3 linked regions of the Arabidopsis thaliana genome follow. The main gene of each other region encodes a partner of the protein of the gene in region 3 in a complex. Each region holds a gene or a part of one and is shown on either strand. Other genes may lie near its edges.

Region 1 (5,192 bases), 8.7 Mb from region 3:
CCGAAGCTGCACGAGGACTGTTCTCACGATTTGTCAAGAGATGGAACAGAGGAAAACTCGAGTCTCGATACTACGAGGGAATCTCCACTGCCCCACGAACAGCTCACGACTGGATGATCAAGCGTAGGTGAAAAAAAGCAAAAGCAATACCTTCCTCTTCTGTGGTTCGCCGGTTACCTCTCTTCTTGCTTCTTGTACACGTGAAGGTTGATTGCATCAGAGATATATTTCTATGTAGTTTCTCTACTTAGAACTTCTTGTTGCTGAACTAGTTAGATAGATTGTCGTGGAGAGATATGTAGTCGGTTTTCAGAGTAAGACAAACTTTACATATCCAAGGTCTTAACCAAAGTTGCCGAAGAACTATCTGATGAATCCTTATGTAACATTGAGAATTTGATATCCGGTTAAGGGAGAAATAGACCGTTTTGATTGAAAGTTGGTCTTGTACAGTATGTAAGTTCCTACTGGCATTTACAACACAGCGTATATGTAGCTTTGGCTAAGTAATTTGTGTGCATGAAACTTGGTTATATGAAACTGAATTTTCACAACAGACGTTTAAATGAGTGAAAAAACATATTCTAAATTATTGGGTCACGAGTCTCCTTAACAAATTCCAAAAGTTTTACAAAAGCAAGAACCATCAACTCTGAGAGTATACTGAGATTCAAATCAGGTTGGTTGCACGGTTAAGTGAAAGTTTTACTCGACTTCAGCCAAGTAATCATCGATTTCTGCTGGTGTTAGCACCCTGCATATAACATTCACTTTTCAGATATTGATGGGAATAACAAGATTTTTTGTTTATATTAGTTTTGTAGTCTTGAATGTTTACCTGAAAACTTTGTCAGTACCGATTTTGCCAATCTCGATGTTTTTGCTTGAGATTTCTCCCTCGAAACTGTGAAAAGACACGGAGGTTATAGGCTTTTGAGAAATTCTGAACTCTGGAAATAAAGTAAATTAAGTTTTGGTAAAAATGCTCACCCTTCCTTCAATGTCAATATTGCCGTGTGAATGGCATCATCAAGTTCCATATCTTCTGTGTACCTGATCAAAGACTAAGATGAAATGACATGCTTCCAAGATCATAAACTCATCACCACAAATGGTAAATTATTATCACCTCTTCTCAAGAAACGTCTTTGCATTCGAAACATTCTTTCCCATTGCAGAAGCTTTCCATGAGAAATAAGAGCCAGATGGATCCACCTAGTGGCCAATGAAAATTATGAAATAAGATGTTTTCAGTTTACGGGTTTTACTTCACTTTGAGCAGGATGGTTATATTTTCTTTAAAGTTCTACTTACTTGATACAGTTGTGGACCCTTGTCATCATACCCAGCCACCAGTAGAGAAACTCCAAACGGCCTAACACCACTATTAACAGCAGAAGGAGACAGAGATTAGAAGCAAGATTCAGTAGTCTAGTTTGCAAATACAGATTTGCATTAACAACATTATCTCACGCCAAATCAATATCAAAACTGAGCTAAAAAGTGCATAGAGAGACTCGCTCTAGAGTTGCAATCTCTGAGCCAATAACACTTTTGAACCCTGTTGAGCATATGAGAGGAAGTAATTACATAACACTCGATATAGTACTTACCCCGATTGAGTGAACTCTTGCATCACCGTGGCAGTTTCCCTTACAAGTTGAGTAACGGGGATGGGTTCCTGCAACAATAAACGCCCTTAGAAGTTGAATCAACAGAGCGATCTGGATTTATGAATAAGCAAGAACTTATATCAACTGGAATCATCAATCCAAAGTTTTTATCATACATGTACTACTAGACACTCCAGGAAAAGAAGACAAAAAAACAGAAGATATTAAAGATTACCTTGTACAGACGGAGATATTGCTCAGCCTGCTTCCTACTCTTTCGCACAAGAACTCGGAAATCAGGACCCATACCACTACATAAAAGGCAATACCAAAGTTAGCACTGAAATCATTAGGGTACTAAGGGAAAGGTTCCATCAGTAGCACTAGCACCTGATGAGAGAGACTAAGTACCCAAAACAAAATAAAAAATGTATGATAAATCCAATTTGCAAGCTATAAAACCAAATTCGCTATTAAAAAAGAAGTATGGATAGCTGAAGAGAAGAACCTGTAAACAGTTCCAATGTTGGGAGTCAAATGTTGAATCTTTTGAACCTGAAACAGACAATAGATAAACATTAGTTTCGTAGGAGTTACTGAAACTATGCAACCGAAAGGAAAGTAACACGAGCAGGCACAGAATGAAAAAGAACTAATTGCTATAAAGAGTTGATCAAACTTACAGACGCTTCATCAACCAATATAGAAGGAAGTTTCTTTTCAGTTGCAATGACAACTCCATTTGAAGCTGCATAAAGAAAACAACAGTCATGATTACCAAAGACAATGTTCCTTAAAAATCTCCTCTCGAATTTGATTAGATCATTGAAAAAACCTTTAATTCCAAGTGATGTTTGGCCTGATCCAACAGCTGTTAGGGCATGTTCTATCTGAACCAGCTTCCCTGATGGGCTGTTTCATAAACCACAACATGAATCAAACCCCGAAGAAACCGTTCCAAATGCTCAGAAAGAGATAACATTGATATGATAAACAAAGTTAATACCTGAAGGTGGTGAGAGAAAACGAGTACTGACTGTCCCCCATTGAAAACCAACTAAATCAAGCTGCAAAAAATGCGAAATAGTGTCATCTCTGGAAATTTAGAAACGTGGAAGCTAAATCTGTTCTTCATCAACAATGTTCAAACTTAAATGAAAAGAAACCACGTCTGAGCAAGTAAGTAGACTGAAGCGTTCAAATCTGACAAAGCTTAAAAACCCGGAAGAGTCTCATCGCCATGGGCAATGTGTAAGGAAAACGATGAAAAAGACAAGATATACCAACCCTAATTAAGAATTGTGAGTGAATCAAATCAAACACAAACTCAAACTCAAAGATCAGCTCTTAGCTCAAACTCAGAGACGAAAATTGAAAACTTTTCTTAAACCCCAAATTCAATATATTTAAAGTTATCAATTTAAATTCAACAAAAGAAACCCATTCAATCAAAGCAACATACCTTTGATATATGGATCGAACGGAATGGTCGCAAGAGAAGAGAGAGAGAAGAGACCCAAGTGAAGAATTTTTAAGCTCTCAAGGTTTCTTGCACAAAGGGTGAGAGTCTGACGCCAGAAAACGAGAGAAACAAAAAAACCAAAACGGCGGCGTTTTAACAACTTCACAGTTACTGTATCTTACATAATAGTCCAATATTTTATATCTCTTTTCAGTTTGAACCACATTATTTATTTACTACCCCTAGTCCCCTACTCTCTCTCGCTTCCACGCCCGACTCGGACTCAAACCTGGTCCGAATTGGCTGTGTCTCTCTCCATCGCCTCCTTCTTCTCTGACAAACTCTCCTCCGTTGGTCGGAGTTTGTTTCTTCGCTCGTTCATCACAAGCTTCGTGTACTGGTAATTGTTCCATTTTTTCTAGCTATTTCGGAAAATTGGATGGAAGAAGCATCTGAAATACGCGTGTAAATGTCGCTGATTGTGTCGTTGAGGCAGAGCCATTGTTGATTCTTAGAGAAAATTTGCTCCTTTATTTCTCCAGTTTGTTAAACTCTCGATTACGCCCTTGAAATGCATTCGACCGGGAAGAGAAATTTCTTAGCTGTTATCAGATTATTGTTTACTAGTTCGAGCTTGGTCAGAAAGGCTGGTTGTAGAAATCTCATTTCTGCTACCTTTACCACCAGGTGTTCGACGTTATGCCTGAATGAATCTGAAGAATGCATTGAGGATTCTGATCTATCGTCTAGGAGAAAAAAATTTGATTATGTTGGAGAAGTTGGTGAAAAAGAGAAAGTGAGAGATATTACTAGTAGTCCTTTACAAGTTTTACGAAGATGGGGTTGTGATGATGATGAAATATCCAAGCTTTTTACTCGTAGGCCTGCTTTGCAGAGAGCCAATGTTGCTCAGTTAGAGTTTAAGTTAAGCCTTCTTAAGCCACTGGGAATCACGTCTTCAGACCTTGTGAAGATTCTTAACTGTCGTCCTAGGTTCTTTAGTTGCCGTCTTGTCCTTGATGAAAGGATCAACTACTTCATGGAGATTTTGGGGTCAAAAGAGGTGTTGCGCAGAGTCATTATCCGGAATCCGTCACTCATGTTGTATGACCTCGATGACAAGATCAAACCCGCGATAGAATACTACAAAGGGTTGGGCTTTAGCCAACAGGATCTTGTCGCAATGTTGATATCGCGACCCACGTTGATTCCAAGAACAAACTTTAACAATGAGAAGTTTGAATACATTGAGAAAACTGGAGTCACCAGAGAATCCAAGATGTTTAAATATGTTGCAGTCATCATCGGGGTCTCGAGGATGGAGACAATCGAAGAGAAAGTTAGAAACTTGGAAAAGTTTGGGTTCTCGGAAGAAGAGATTTGGCACCTGTATGGAAAATGCCCAATCCTTCTCTCTCTCTCTGTTGAGAAAGTTCAGAGAAACATGACTTTCGTCATAGCCTCGATGAAACTTCCAGCTCATTCCGTGGTTAAGCACCCTTGTTTGCTTCTCCTCAACCTCGAGTCTCGTCTAAAACCTCGTGCGGATCTCGTTAAGAGAGTCTTGGAAATGCGTCTAAAGCCATTGATAAAAGAAGTGAGCATTTTCAGAGCGGTAAGGATGAGCGAGAAACGGTTCTTGAAGGTTTATGTAATGTGTCATCCACAAGATATTGCAACCGAGCTGATGGAGTTTTACGAGAAATCCAAAAACATGAAACGTTTAGCTGAGAAATCCAAGAAATACATCCGTAAAGGATTCCCCTTTTGAATCTCTTTTTCATCTTTTGTTTCTTTGGATATGTTCATTAAAGATGTAACATTGTGTAGAATTTTCCAGCTTTATCAATGGATACTTTTGAATCGGTTCATGTTTTGGTTTAGATCAGATTAGTTAAACCGGAATAGAAAAATATCAAAACACAAAACGCGAAGAAGCACGTTTGGTGAAACGAAACGCCAAAGACGCCCTAGACGTGTCTCTCTTCCAGACCCGTTCGTGGCGGCAGTGACAAAATCCTCTTTATTGATAAAAACGTTTGCAAAGTTGCAACCTTTTTGGGTTTAGTACTTGAAGAGAATCAATCTGACAGCAAATAGTTTTGGCGTCTTTCTAA
Region 2 (4,414 bases), on a different chromosome or scaffold from region 3:
GTGCAGAGTCGCCGGAGCTTCCTCCGCTTCAGAGTATTCAGTTCACAAATCCGTTTGTTTCCGGTAAGAAACGGATTATTCCGGTGGATTCTGTTTTAAGTTTCGTTGACATGTAACTTGCTTCATTCATTCATATTCTGCAGGTAATAATGTTTCTGCCTCTCCTCAATCAGTCGACTTAGCACCGGAAGTTTCACCAAGCTCCGATCTATTCTCACCGGAAACAGCCACCCTAGCACCACCACCACCACCACCACCACTACCAGTTCTACAATACTTCTCAAGCGACTCTCTCAAGATCAGAAACTTCTGGTTTCCATCGACTATCATCATGACTTTTGCCACTTCTATTCTCGCTCGTATCTGAACTGTTTTAAGCTCTCTGTGCTTTTTACTGCTTATGTTTACTTCATTGATACTTAAGATTTTACCATTGGGCTTGTGTTAAAGTCTTCCCTATGTAGAAACGCAGAGAATAGAGATGATATAGTAGAAGAAGATGTTTAGGTTTACATTGCACTATCTTTTGCTTCATATACGCAATAAGGAAAGAAAAAGTTCAACACATGCATATCATCATCATTATCTAGGAACTTTAATATCCAGGGAGCTTGAAGTTCAACAGAGAATATAAATGTGAGCCGAGTAACATAAATGGACTAATAAACACAATGAAAACAACTTAGGCATCAGCAGTGCTGATACGCCATCCGTACTCACGGGCTCCGTCCTTGTCAACAATCTTGATAACAAAGTTTGGTGGTGCAATGACCAGCCTTGACCTGATCTCGAGTATGCATTTGTCCACCAATTCAATGGCTTCTTCAACAGACATGTCGCTGCGGTAGTGTCTGTCCATTGTAGAGAGAGAGAAGTATGAGCCGTATCCAAATGCTCCCTTATCAACCTTGTGGAGGGTTGCAATGTAGTCAATGTAGTATAGAGATGCGCCGGCTTCTTTGTCATAGCCAGCCATCAGGATGTTCACCGAATATGGATTCTGGAATCAAATAGAACAGACAACAATGGGAAATCTCAAAATGTCAAGTGCGAATATGCAGACCAGTCCTAAACAACCCAAAAAAATCCAGGGAATCAATCAGATCATTTAACAATCTATAGCTAAGGCTACATGGGTATAAACCCCACTCAACACTGTCCAAAGTTGGAAGATCTACCCTAAACCGGTAAAAATGATCACACATCAGTTAGCCTTGAGTATCAGATTTTCACCATCAAGACACAGAAGTCAGAGTAACCTTGGAAGGTAGCACAAAATTCCTAGTCTTGTAAATTCTTAGTTAATGAAATAATATTACTTATCAAGCTTGGCATAAGAAAACTATTAAGCTGTAATCCGAGTTTCATCTTTTCTGCATCATAATTCTAAATTTCATAACTTCGTCCAACTCAAAGATAATCTTCTGTAACATCCAAGGACATAAAACTGCAACAATGTGTAGAATAGTCTGAAATACCTTGAATATTTCTAAAGGCCACACTATGTCTACATAATGAACACATTAGGTAAAGTTTCTAATGGCATTTAGCTACTCTGAGGTAATGAATATTAACAAGTATTAGAACTACCTGTATCAACAATGGTTTTACACCACCATACAAGAGGAAGTGAAACACAAAGGCTTATATAAACTTATCAACAAGTATTAAGCATCAAACATCTTAACACAATCAAAACCATAGTATGACAGAGGAAAGCTTCAAAAAAATTGACATGTTTAACTAAAGAAGAAAGACAAGTTCAACTACATTGCATCAAAAGAGGAAACTAAAAAACCAAGAATAAGCACTAAGCACCAATCGCTGATCTGATGATACCCCACAATCTCACTATTTCATAAAAGTATATGTACCTCAAAGAGATTAAAACCCTAATTCCCCAAATCTAAAATAAGGCAGAGAAACTTCTGAAATAAAAAAATAAAAAACCGTAGAAGAAAAGTTAGAACCTTTCTCAAAGCAGTGGCAAGTTCTCCACGAGTGAAGTTAGCAGCAGCAGCAGTACTCAAAGGAATCCCATTACGAAACTGATACAGTGACACATTCTTCTGAACATACTCCGTAAACTGAACCCTAAAGTAAATCCAAAAAAAAACAGAAATCAAATTCATGTACTACTACTACTGAATCACAGACAGAGAGAGAGACGGAGAAGTTTTTTTACCGGTCACCAGGCTCACCACTAGCGGCGACGAGCTTGTGAGAGTCAAGAGTCATGATCTTGTCCTCTTTGTTCTTGTGAAGAAGAATACTGTGAACTGCTGATGTATCCGCCGCCACGATAGCGAATCCATTCCCAACTAGACCAAATACACACTCCATCTTCAGATCTGTTTCTTCTCAGTTCCTTTTTCGAATTTTTCGATTCCGATTATTCGTTTCTTCCGGTCGCTGGAAGAATAGTTTAAGAGCTTTTTAGATCAAAGCGACTTGGCGAACAAGACGGGTTGATTTGGTAGTTCTAGAATATAGTCAGGGGTATTTTAGACATATTAACGTTATGGGGACATTTCTATTTTTTAAAGTAGGAGGGTGTAAGAGAGAGTAATAGGAAAAGCTTAGGGGTTAATTTGTAAATTAAAAAGGAACCTCTCGTTTTCTTCTCTCTCCCGCTTCTTGCTGAGTCGCCGACCCTCTGAGAAGAATAAGGTCTAACAATGGAAGTCTGAGATGGTTTCTTCAGTTTCTAATTATAAAAGAGAATTTGGTTTTAATTTCTCTTTATTGTTTATCTCGTCCTCGATTTCAAGAGTTTGATTTCTGTAACTTTGAGCTTCCTTCAAAGCAAATGAAAGGTGTCGTCGTGAGTATACTCGAATTGTATTTCCCATGGTGAATAAAGGATAAGAAAGTGTTGTGTCTTCATTTCAATAGATAAAACAATCTAAACATGGCGTATTCTGTTGTTCGGCTTCGAAAGGTTTCAGCTTTGGGGATTTCTCGTGTTCTTCAAGGTTGGAGCTTTTAAACCCTTTTTTTCTCTGTTTTCTGGTTCTCTTTTGGTTAGAAATTGCGGATTGTAGTTTGTAAGTGATCTTAGAAAGGAACTATCAGAAATTTTGATCATCTGGATACAGAAAGTTTGAACCTTTATGAGCTTTGCAGCTTCTACATCTGTTTCTGTGTAGTGTCTAGAAGAAGATTGGATTGGTTTAACGTTGTATCTTATGATGGCTTCGTGTTGCCTAATGTTTCAGCTGATAAAGGAAGTTTGTGGCGGTTTCACTTTGAACCTGAGTTTGGTGACCTTTTGAGATTAGGTGTCTTGACTAGGAATTATAGAAAGAACTCTGGATCTCCAAAGTTTGATTTCACTGGCACTGGAACCACCTCAAAGTTCGATTTCACTGATCTCACGTAAGAGTAAAACTTCTTGTAGAATTTTTTTGTTAGCTCCCCAGTAGCAACTAATTGCGATTCTCTTTGCAGTTCCATTGTTGTTGTGGAGAGATTAGTAAAGAGGAACTGATTTATATTTCTGTCATTACTTTGAATTCTAGCTGTCCTCATACATGGTATCCTATAGCTCGGAAGAAGAAGCGTAAGGTCATTCTACATGTTGGCCCGACAAACAGCGGGAAGACATATAGTGCCCTTAAGCACCTTGAACAGAGTTCTTCAGGTATGCCTTGAAGGTGACTAATAAACCTTTTGGAAGCCAGTTCTTGAACTGTTTAAAATTTGCTTCTTTCACTTGAAGGTGTATATTGTGGTCCGTTAAGATTGTTGGCATGGGAGGTAGCTAAACGGTTAAACAAAGCAAATGTTCCATGTGATTTGATCACGGGACAAGAGAAAGACTTAGTGGAAGGGGCAACACACAAAGCTGTGACAGTTGAAATGGCTGATGTTACATCTGTCTACGATTGTGCCATCATTGACGAAATTCAGGCTAGTCTTGCTCGACTTTGGCTTAAGAAATCGACAAGAACTTTTTGTTTGTTATTCTCATCCTTTCTTTCCCTAATTTCAGATGGTGGGATGTAAACAAAGGGGATTTGCATTTACTCGTGCTTTACTTGGAATCGCGGCTGATGAGCTACATTTATGTGGCGATCCAGCTGTCGTACCTCTTGTTGAAGATATACTGAAAGTAACTGGAGATGATGTCGAGGTATCATGTTTATTCGAGCTAGAGTCCCTTTTTCTTCTCTAATTATTTCTTGTTTATAATTAAATACCAATACTCTTGATGTAATCACGACCTCTTGATCCCTTTTATTTTGAATTCAGGTTCATACCTATGAGAGGCTTTCACCATTAGTCCCTTTGAAGGTTCCTGTTTCATCAGTTTCCAGTATTAAAACTGGGGATTGTCTTGTCACTTTTTCCCGAAAAGATATATATGCGTATAAGGTTAGCAGTTACTTATCTTGTTCTCTCTTCCTGTATT
Region 3 (5,178 bases):
AGAAAATATACAACTTGTTACGTTTACAAGTTCAAGAAAACTACTCACCCTATGAATTTAATAGATCTTGTAACTATTAGACCATTTCCATTAGAAGTTTTTCACAAGAGTTTTTCACAACTAAAAAAATAAAAATATTAAAAATGAAAGAGAAAGAAGGTAGAAAGTTTCTCACTTGAGAAACTATGAGATACTCTCTACAACTCATCATGACATTTCTCTCTTTATCATTAGTTCAGTTTTTAACTAAAATAAAAAAAATTAATCATATAATAAAACTTTATTTTTTTGTTTGTTTGGAAAACTCTTTGAATTTCTAATGGAGATGCTCTTAAAAACCTATTTGACTAGATAATAACCTGATGGAATTTGTACTTTTGGAATTTGGATTCAATTAGGAGATGAATAATGCATATCACGAAATGGAGTTGTTAATACTTTACTTGTTAAGAATTTACTGAAATAATTATGATTAATAAATAATGAGAGAGTAGGTTCCAATAGATGATTTATTAATTTTATGAATTTGTGTGCAAATTGTGTCAACTTCACTTAAAATGAGAAAAGAGAAAGGAGACCAAAAAGCGATGGAGAACGATCAACAATGAACAAAGGTATGGATTACTACCCAAAGATATCCAGTACTTTTTATAAATCCTCATTGATCTAAACTCTGGACTGTCAGAAAGAAACCACCAAGTTTAATAGTAAAACAACTACAGTACAAAGTGTTTAACAACATCACATAAAATAAAATAAAAGCTTCCTTAAAAGATCGCCAGCCGATGTGGTTGCTTGGCTTCTTACCAGGAGCCTGCAGCACCAGCAGTTGGGTTGTGGAATGACGAGAATTCCCAGTATGTCTTCAATGAGTATGGCTGTGAGACCGTCACGCCCTCTTCCGTGATCTTCGCTATCTGCACAGTTTTCATATTTTCTGTTATTACAATCCTTATGAAGAACTTCTACCAAACTAAACAAAGATTATACGAGATGAGATAACGGTAAACAAAACTTGTTATTAGAGACAAACCTGAAGCTTGTTAATAGCAGATCTGTCACGGTAAAGAAGCACACGCATACATTTCTCAAGTAGCTTGACACCATCTTCAAAACTCAGGTCTGCATGCCACTCATCACGAAGAATTGGCCTAGCAAGGTGGTTTCCAAATCCAGTGGCAACATGATCGTCCTCAAAACTAACACCAATCATTGACACCTAGAGAGAAGCAAATGGATCCAAATCAATAGTTACATTCATAAGAAAATTTTATATATGTGACTTGAAAGACTGAGACGTACCATTCCAAGGTAACTTTTCCCATTTTTGACGCCTCCAAGGACGAGAGTGTTCCACAGAGGGTTAAACTTGTTGCGACGGTTGTACATCACACGGGTCAGATAGTTGTGAATCTCTTTTGGTCCCAAAGAGTTACCATCATCCCACATGTTATCATTCAGGCTGTGTAAAACCAAGGGCTTGTGAGGCTTGATAATTGACAAGGAAAGATTAAAATATAAAAAAATTGAACCAAACGGATTCTTACGTGAGCTCATCAAGATAACGGAGAATCTCCTGAAAGTCGCTGATTTCTCCGCTGGCACCAAGAAGAGAATGCTTACCAATAGCCTTCACTCTCTCGATGTTCTTGTATCTTAAGGTTGATCCATATGAACCTGCATGCAAAAATTTGAAAGTGAGTTGATGGCACAATATCGTAATTTCCCTGGTGCATAAGTCCCAGGAAACCAGGATCACACCATTAGAACATAAAAGAATAATCCAAGCTACATAGATATACCATCAAAATTATTAACCGTACAAACAAATGACAGCTCTTACTTATTGTGAGTCGGTGTTAAGATATGAGAAATCAAACTATTTCAATGAACATAGCTAAGTACTGGTTGATGGTTGTAACGTTAATTCTCAGTTGTCATCTCTTGACCTAATTAACAATGGATGGCACACAGGGAACCGAAACAAAAGCAAAAAGATCTAGAAACAGTCAAGACTTTTCAACATTATTCTCTGGATCATTCATAAAAGAAGCCTCAATTCTTAGTTTACCCTAAATCTAACAATATTAAAGAGACGAAACAGGAACAACCAAAGAACTGTAACATTCTATGTTGGAAAGATAACGTAGCTAAGAAAACAAATGCAAGGGGGATGTGAAACTAATCTCATAAAAAACAAAAAGCAATTGCTTGTCTATATGTTTAGCCCAAAATACATATTATTATCAATCAAGCAGCTAATAGACATAACAAAACCTGTTCTGCATAATAGTGTTTGACCCTAATTCACTGAATCGTCTATAAAGATGCAAAAATCAAATTTGACCAAAAGAATCAAACCATACTTAAAAATGTAGCAGAAAAGACACTAGAGAAATGAAATTTGAAGGATTCATACGCATGAAACGAGCATATCTGAAACACATGATCTATTCACTGACTTGTGATGATCTCTCACAGAGAAAAAGAAACAGATTTAACCAAACAAACACCAAGAGAGGCAAAACAAACGATTCAAGCAATCAAGCTTATAACAGATGTAAATCTAAACATACATTGCAAAAATTTGTGCATACATTAAACCAATACAAATACTTAACCAAATAAAGAGCTGAAACTAGGAGCTGAGACATACCTCCCATATCAGAAGCCATCAAAACCCCATCTTTGTACTTGATTGCAACAATTGAAGTTCCAGTAACATATGGGTACCTAAACAAAAAACCAAAACAAAACCCTAATAAATTCAAAATCGAATCCCAAATTTTCTCAAAATCGAAAACCCTACATAAGCATAAGAGTAAGAGATTTTTACAGTGTTCTTTGTGATTCTTCTTCTGCGATCTTCATAGAATCTCCGTTATCAATCGGAACAGAAAACTGCTCAGAAGAAGAAACAAAATCAAAATCAGGAAAACGAAATCAAACCTAGAAGGATCAGAAGCAGAGATAGTAATAAGAACATTGAAGACGAGATTGATCTGACTTACAGTCGTCATATTCTCGAAAAATATCGTAGTGAGCTTTAGGTTCTTCTTCTTAAGATCTGATGGTTTTGGTTTTGTTTACCTCACTAAAAAGACTTCTGTGATTTCCTTTCGCTCAAGAAACATAGCGAATCGGGCCTGACCCGGTGTTTACCGGTTTAACCTGGTTATTCACCCGATCCGATTTGATCTCACACACTAATATCAATTTATTGGTTTAATACGGTTCTTTACCTGACCCGACCTGACTCAGTTTCACACGTAGAGGTGTCAAACGGGCCGGTTTATTCTCGATTTGACCCGACCTACCCGATCTCAACCAATATTATCGATTTAACCCGGTTACTGACATGACCCCACCCGACATTACTCAAATATCGGAAAGCCCAAGTCCAATACTGTAGTTCAAAATTGAACTCTGTGACTTTCTCAGTCTTCTTCTAGAATCATCTTTGCTCTTTCTCGTCGACTATTTGCTCGCCGGAGAATCTCTCTCAGAATGGCTAGGTCACCGAGCAAACACGGCCGCGATCAAACTCAGGTAACCATTTCTACTCGATTCATCTTTCTTACATGAATCTTCTCTAGCTAAAATCTCTGTTTACTCGAGAATGAAAAAGGAAAAAAATCGAAACGACTCGTGCTCCTTATCTCCACTTCGTTATCTAGATTTCATGGAGATTGTTAGTTCAACGAACTGTTGTACAATCGATTATGTATATAGACTAAGAACGAATTAGATGTTTACTTGCATCGTTTGGTTTCGAATTTTTTTTTCCAGGATTTCCAGGGATTTTTCAATGACTTGCAGGATTGGGAACTCTCATTGAAGGATAAAGACAAGAAGATTAAGCAACAACCTGCTAATTCGTCGAATCCGGTTCGTTCTTTTGTGTATATACAGAAGTGCTCTCATTTGTAAAACTTAATGCATCCTTATGAGATTCCTTGTTTTGAACTTTCAGAGTAGTGAGACGTTCAGACCAAGTGGGTCAGGGAAATATGACTTTGCTAAAAAGTATCGTTCCATTAGGGATTTGTCGAGTAGTTTGATTGGAGAAAGTCTATTGGATTCTAGTTCAGAGAAGGAGCAGGTACTTTCTCTTCTTCAAGCTTTGTTTTTGTTATGTGATATTCTCGTGATGCAATCTTTCTCATGGACCTCTCTTGGAATACAGGGTAATGAATTCTTCAAGCAGAAGAAGTTCAATGAGGCGATTGATTGTTACTCTCGGAGCATTGCTTTATCGCCAAATGCTGTGACTTATGCAAATCGAGCAATGGCTTACCTTAAAATCAAAAGGTTTGCTCATTGTCTGTTTCATTGGTTTTATTCATTCATCACTGTGACTCTTGTGTGTGTCCACTTGTCTTCCATTACCTGATCCTCTTTAAGCTATATTTTCTGACTTTGTAAAATGATTCTTACATTAGATATCGAGAGGCTGAGGTTGACTGCACAGAAGCTTTAAATCTGGATGATCGATATATAAAAGCTTACTCACGCCGAGCAACAGCAAGAAAAGAACTCGGCATGATTAAAGAAGCCAAAGAAGGTATCCCTCGCACCCATATAATCATTCATTCTGTTCTGTTAAGATACATACAATTTCTTTATTACATGTTGCTGCATATGTAAGGTGATTAAAATTATTCGCAGATGCTGAGTTTGCCTTAAGATTGGAGCCTGAGAGCCAGGAACTTAAGAAGCAATATGCCGATATCAAATCTTTGCTCGAGAAAGTAATATTTTCATATGCTTCTTTGCTGCATTTTTGCCAGGTTAATTTTAAATGCTTCACAAATACTTAACTTTTTGAATTTTGAGCAGGAAATCATTGAGAAAGCCACTGGAGCAATGCAAAGCACTGCACAAGAATTACTCAAAACATCAGGTTTAGATAAGAAAATACAAAAGCCAAAGACAGAAATGACTTCAAAGCCAGTGACCCTAGTGGCCAAAACGAACAGGGATATTGTTCAGCCTGTTCTAGGTAGCAATGAAAGTTCGGGAAAGAAGCTCATTGAAAATATACAACCTGAGGTATATTTCAAGTTTATTTTGTTTGATATAAGTTAAGTTCAAAAGTGCACATCTAAAAGGTCGTGTAGAATTAGTTTTACTAGTAAAGTTTGTCGGATATTATTATCACATGGAAACTTTATCTTT

The links. Proteins that work in one complex are often made in the same cells at the same time.
Region 1: PBG1 (region 3) and AT1G79210 share a complex: the UniProt entries of both Arabidopsis thaliana proteins name them as parts of the 20S core complex.
Region 2: PBG1 (region 3) and PBD2 share a complex: the UniProt entries of both Arabidopsis thaliana proteins name them as parts of the 20S core complex.

The regions. Positions count from the first base shown.
Region 1 is NC_003070.9:29,795,581-29,800,772, forward strand, and holds AT1G79210 (N-terminal nucleophile aminohydrolases (Ntn hydrolases) superfamily protein), read right to left. Parts: upstream 3,257-5,192; 5' UTR 3,076-3,256; intron 2,738-3,075; exon of another isoform or gene 2,681-2,737; 5' UTR 2,661-2,680; coding exon 2,620-2,660; intron 2,526-2,619; coding exon 2,449-2,525; intron 2,362-2,448; coding exon 2,297-2,361; intron 2,169-2,296; coding exon 2,122-2,168; intron 1,925-2,121; coding exon 1,849-1,924; intron 1,682-1,848; coding exon 1,614-1,681; intron 1,385-1,613; coding exon 1,315-1,384; intron 1,216-1,314; coding exon 1,130-1,215; intron 1,054-1,129; coding exon 991-1,053; intron 905-990; coding exon 839-904; intron 755-838; coding exon 706-754; 3' UTR 501-705; downstream 1-500. Other genes in the region: SCI1 (splicing regulatory glutamine/lysine-rich-like protein), read left to right, coding at 1-131; AT1G79220 (Mitochondrial transcription termination factor family protein), read left to right, coding at 3,647-4,846. UniProt on the Arabidopsis thaliana protein: The proteasome is a multicatalytic proteinase complex which is characterized by its ability to cleave peptides with Arg, Phe, Tyr, Leu, and Glu adjacent to the leaving group at neutral or slightly basic pH.
Region 2 is NC_003075.7:8,498,327-8,502,740, reverse strand, and holds PBD2 (20S proteasome beta subunit D2), read right to left. Parts: upstream 2,476-4,414; 5' UTR 2,344-2,475; coding exon 2,186-2,343; intron 2,095-2,185; coding exon 1,971-2,094; intron 1,282-1,970; coding exon 1,234-1,281; intron 1,001-1,233; coding exon 683-1,000; 3' UTR 501-682; downstream 1-500. Other genes in the region: AT4G14805 (Bifunctional inhibitor/lipid-transfer protein/seed storage 2S albumin superfamily protein), read left to right, coding at 7-63, 144-367; ATSUV3 (ATP-dependent RNA helicase), read left to right, coding at 2,912-2,975, 3,219-3,378, 3,522-3,643, 3,722-3,912, 3,995-4,135, 4,255-4,377. UniProt on the Arabidopsis thaliana protein: Non-catalytic component of the proteasome, a multicatalytic proteinase complex which is characterized by its ability to cleave peptides with Arg, Phe, Tyr, Leu, and Glu adjacent to the leaving group at neutral or slightly basic pH.
Region 3 is NC_003070.9:21,139,812-21,144,989, reverse strand, and holds PBG1 (20S proteasome beta subunit G1), read right to left. Parts: upstream 3,358-5,178; 5' UTR 3,021-3,357; coding exon 3,012-3,020; intron 2,902-3,011; coding exon 2,837-2,901; intron 2,734-2,836; coding exon 2,657-2,733; intron 1,678-2,656; coding exon 1,548-1,677; intron 1,463-1,547; coding exon 1,303-1,462; intron 1,220-1,302; coding exon 1,034-1,219; intron 918-1,033; coding exon 804-917; 3' UTR 532-803; downstream 1-531. Other genes in the region: TPR5 (Tetratricopeptide repeat (TPR)-like superfamily protein), read left to right, coding at 3,508-3,549, 3,790-3,888, 3,974-4,102, 4,187-4,311, 4,443-4,564, 4,669-4,751, 4,840-5,052. UniProt on the Arabidopsis thaliana protein: Non-catalytic component of the proteasome, a multicatalytic proteinase complex which is characterized by its ability to cleave peptides with Arg, Phe, Tyr, Leu, and Glu adjacent to the leaving group at neutral or slightly basic pH.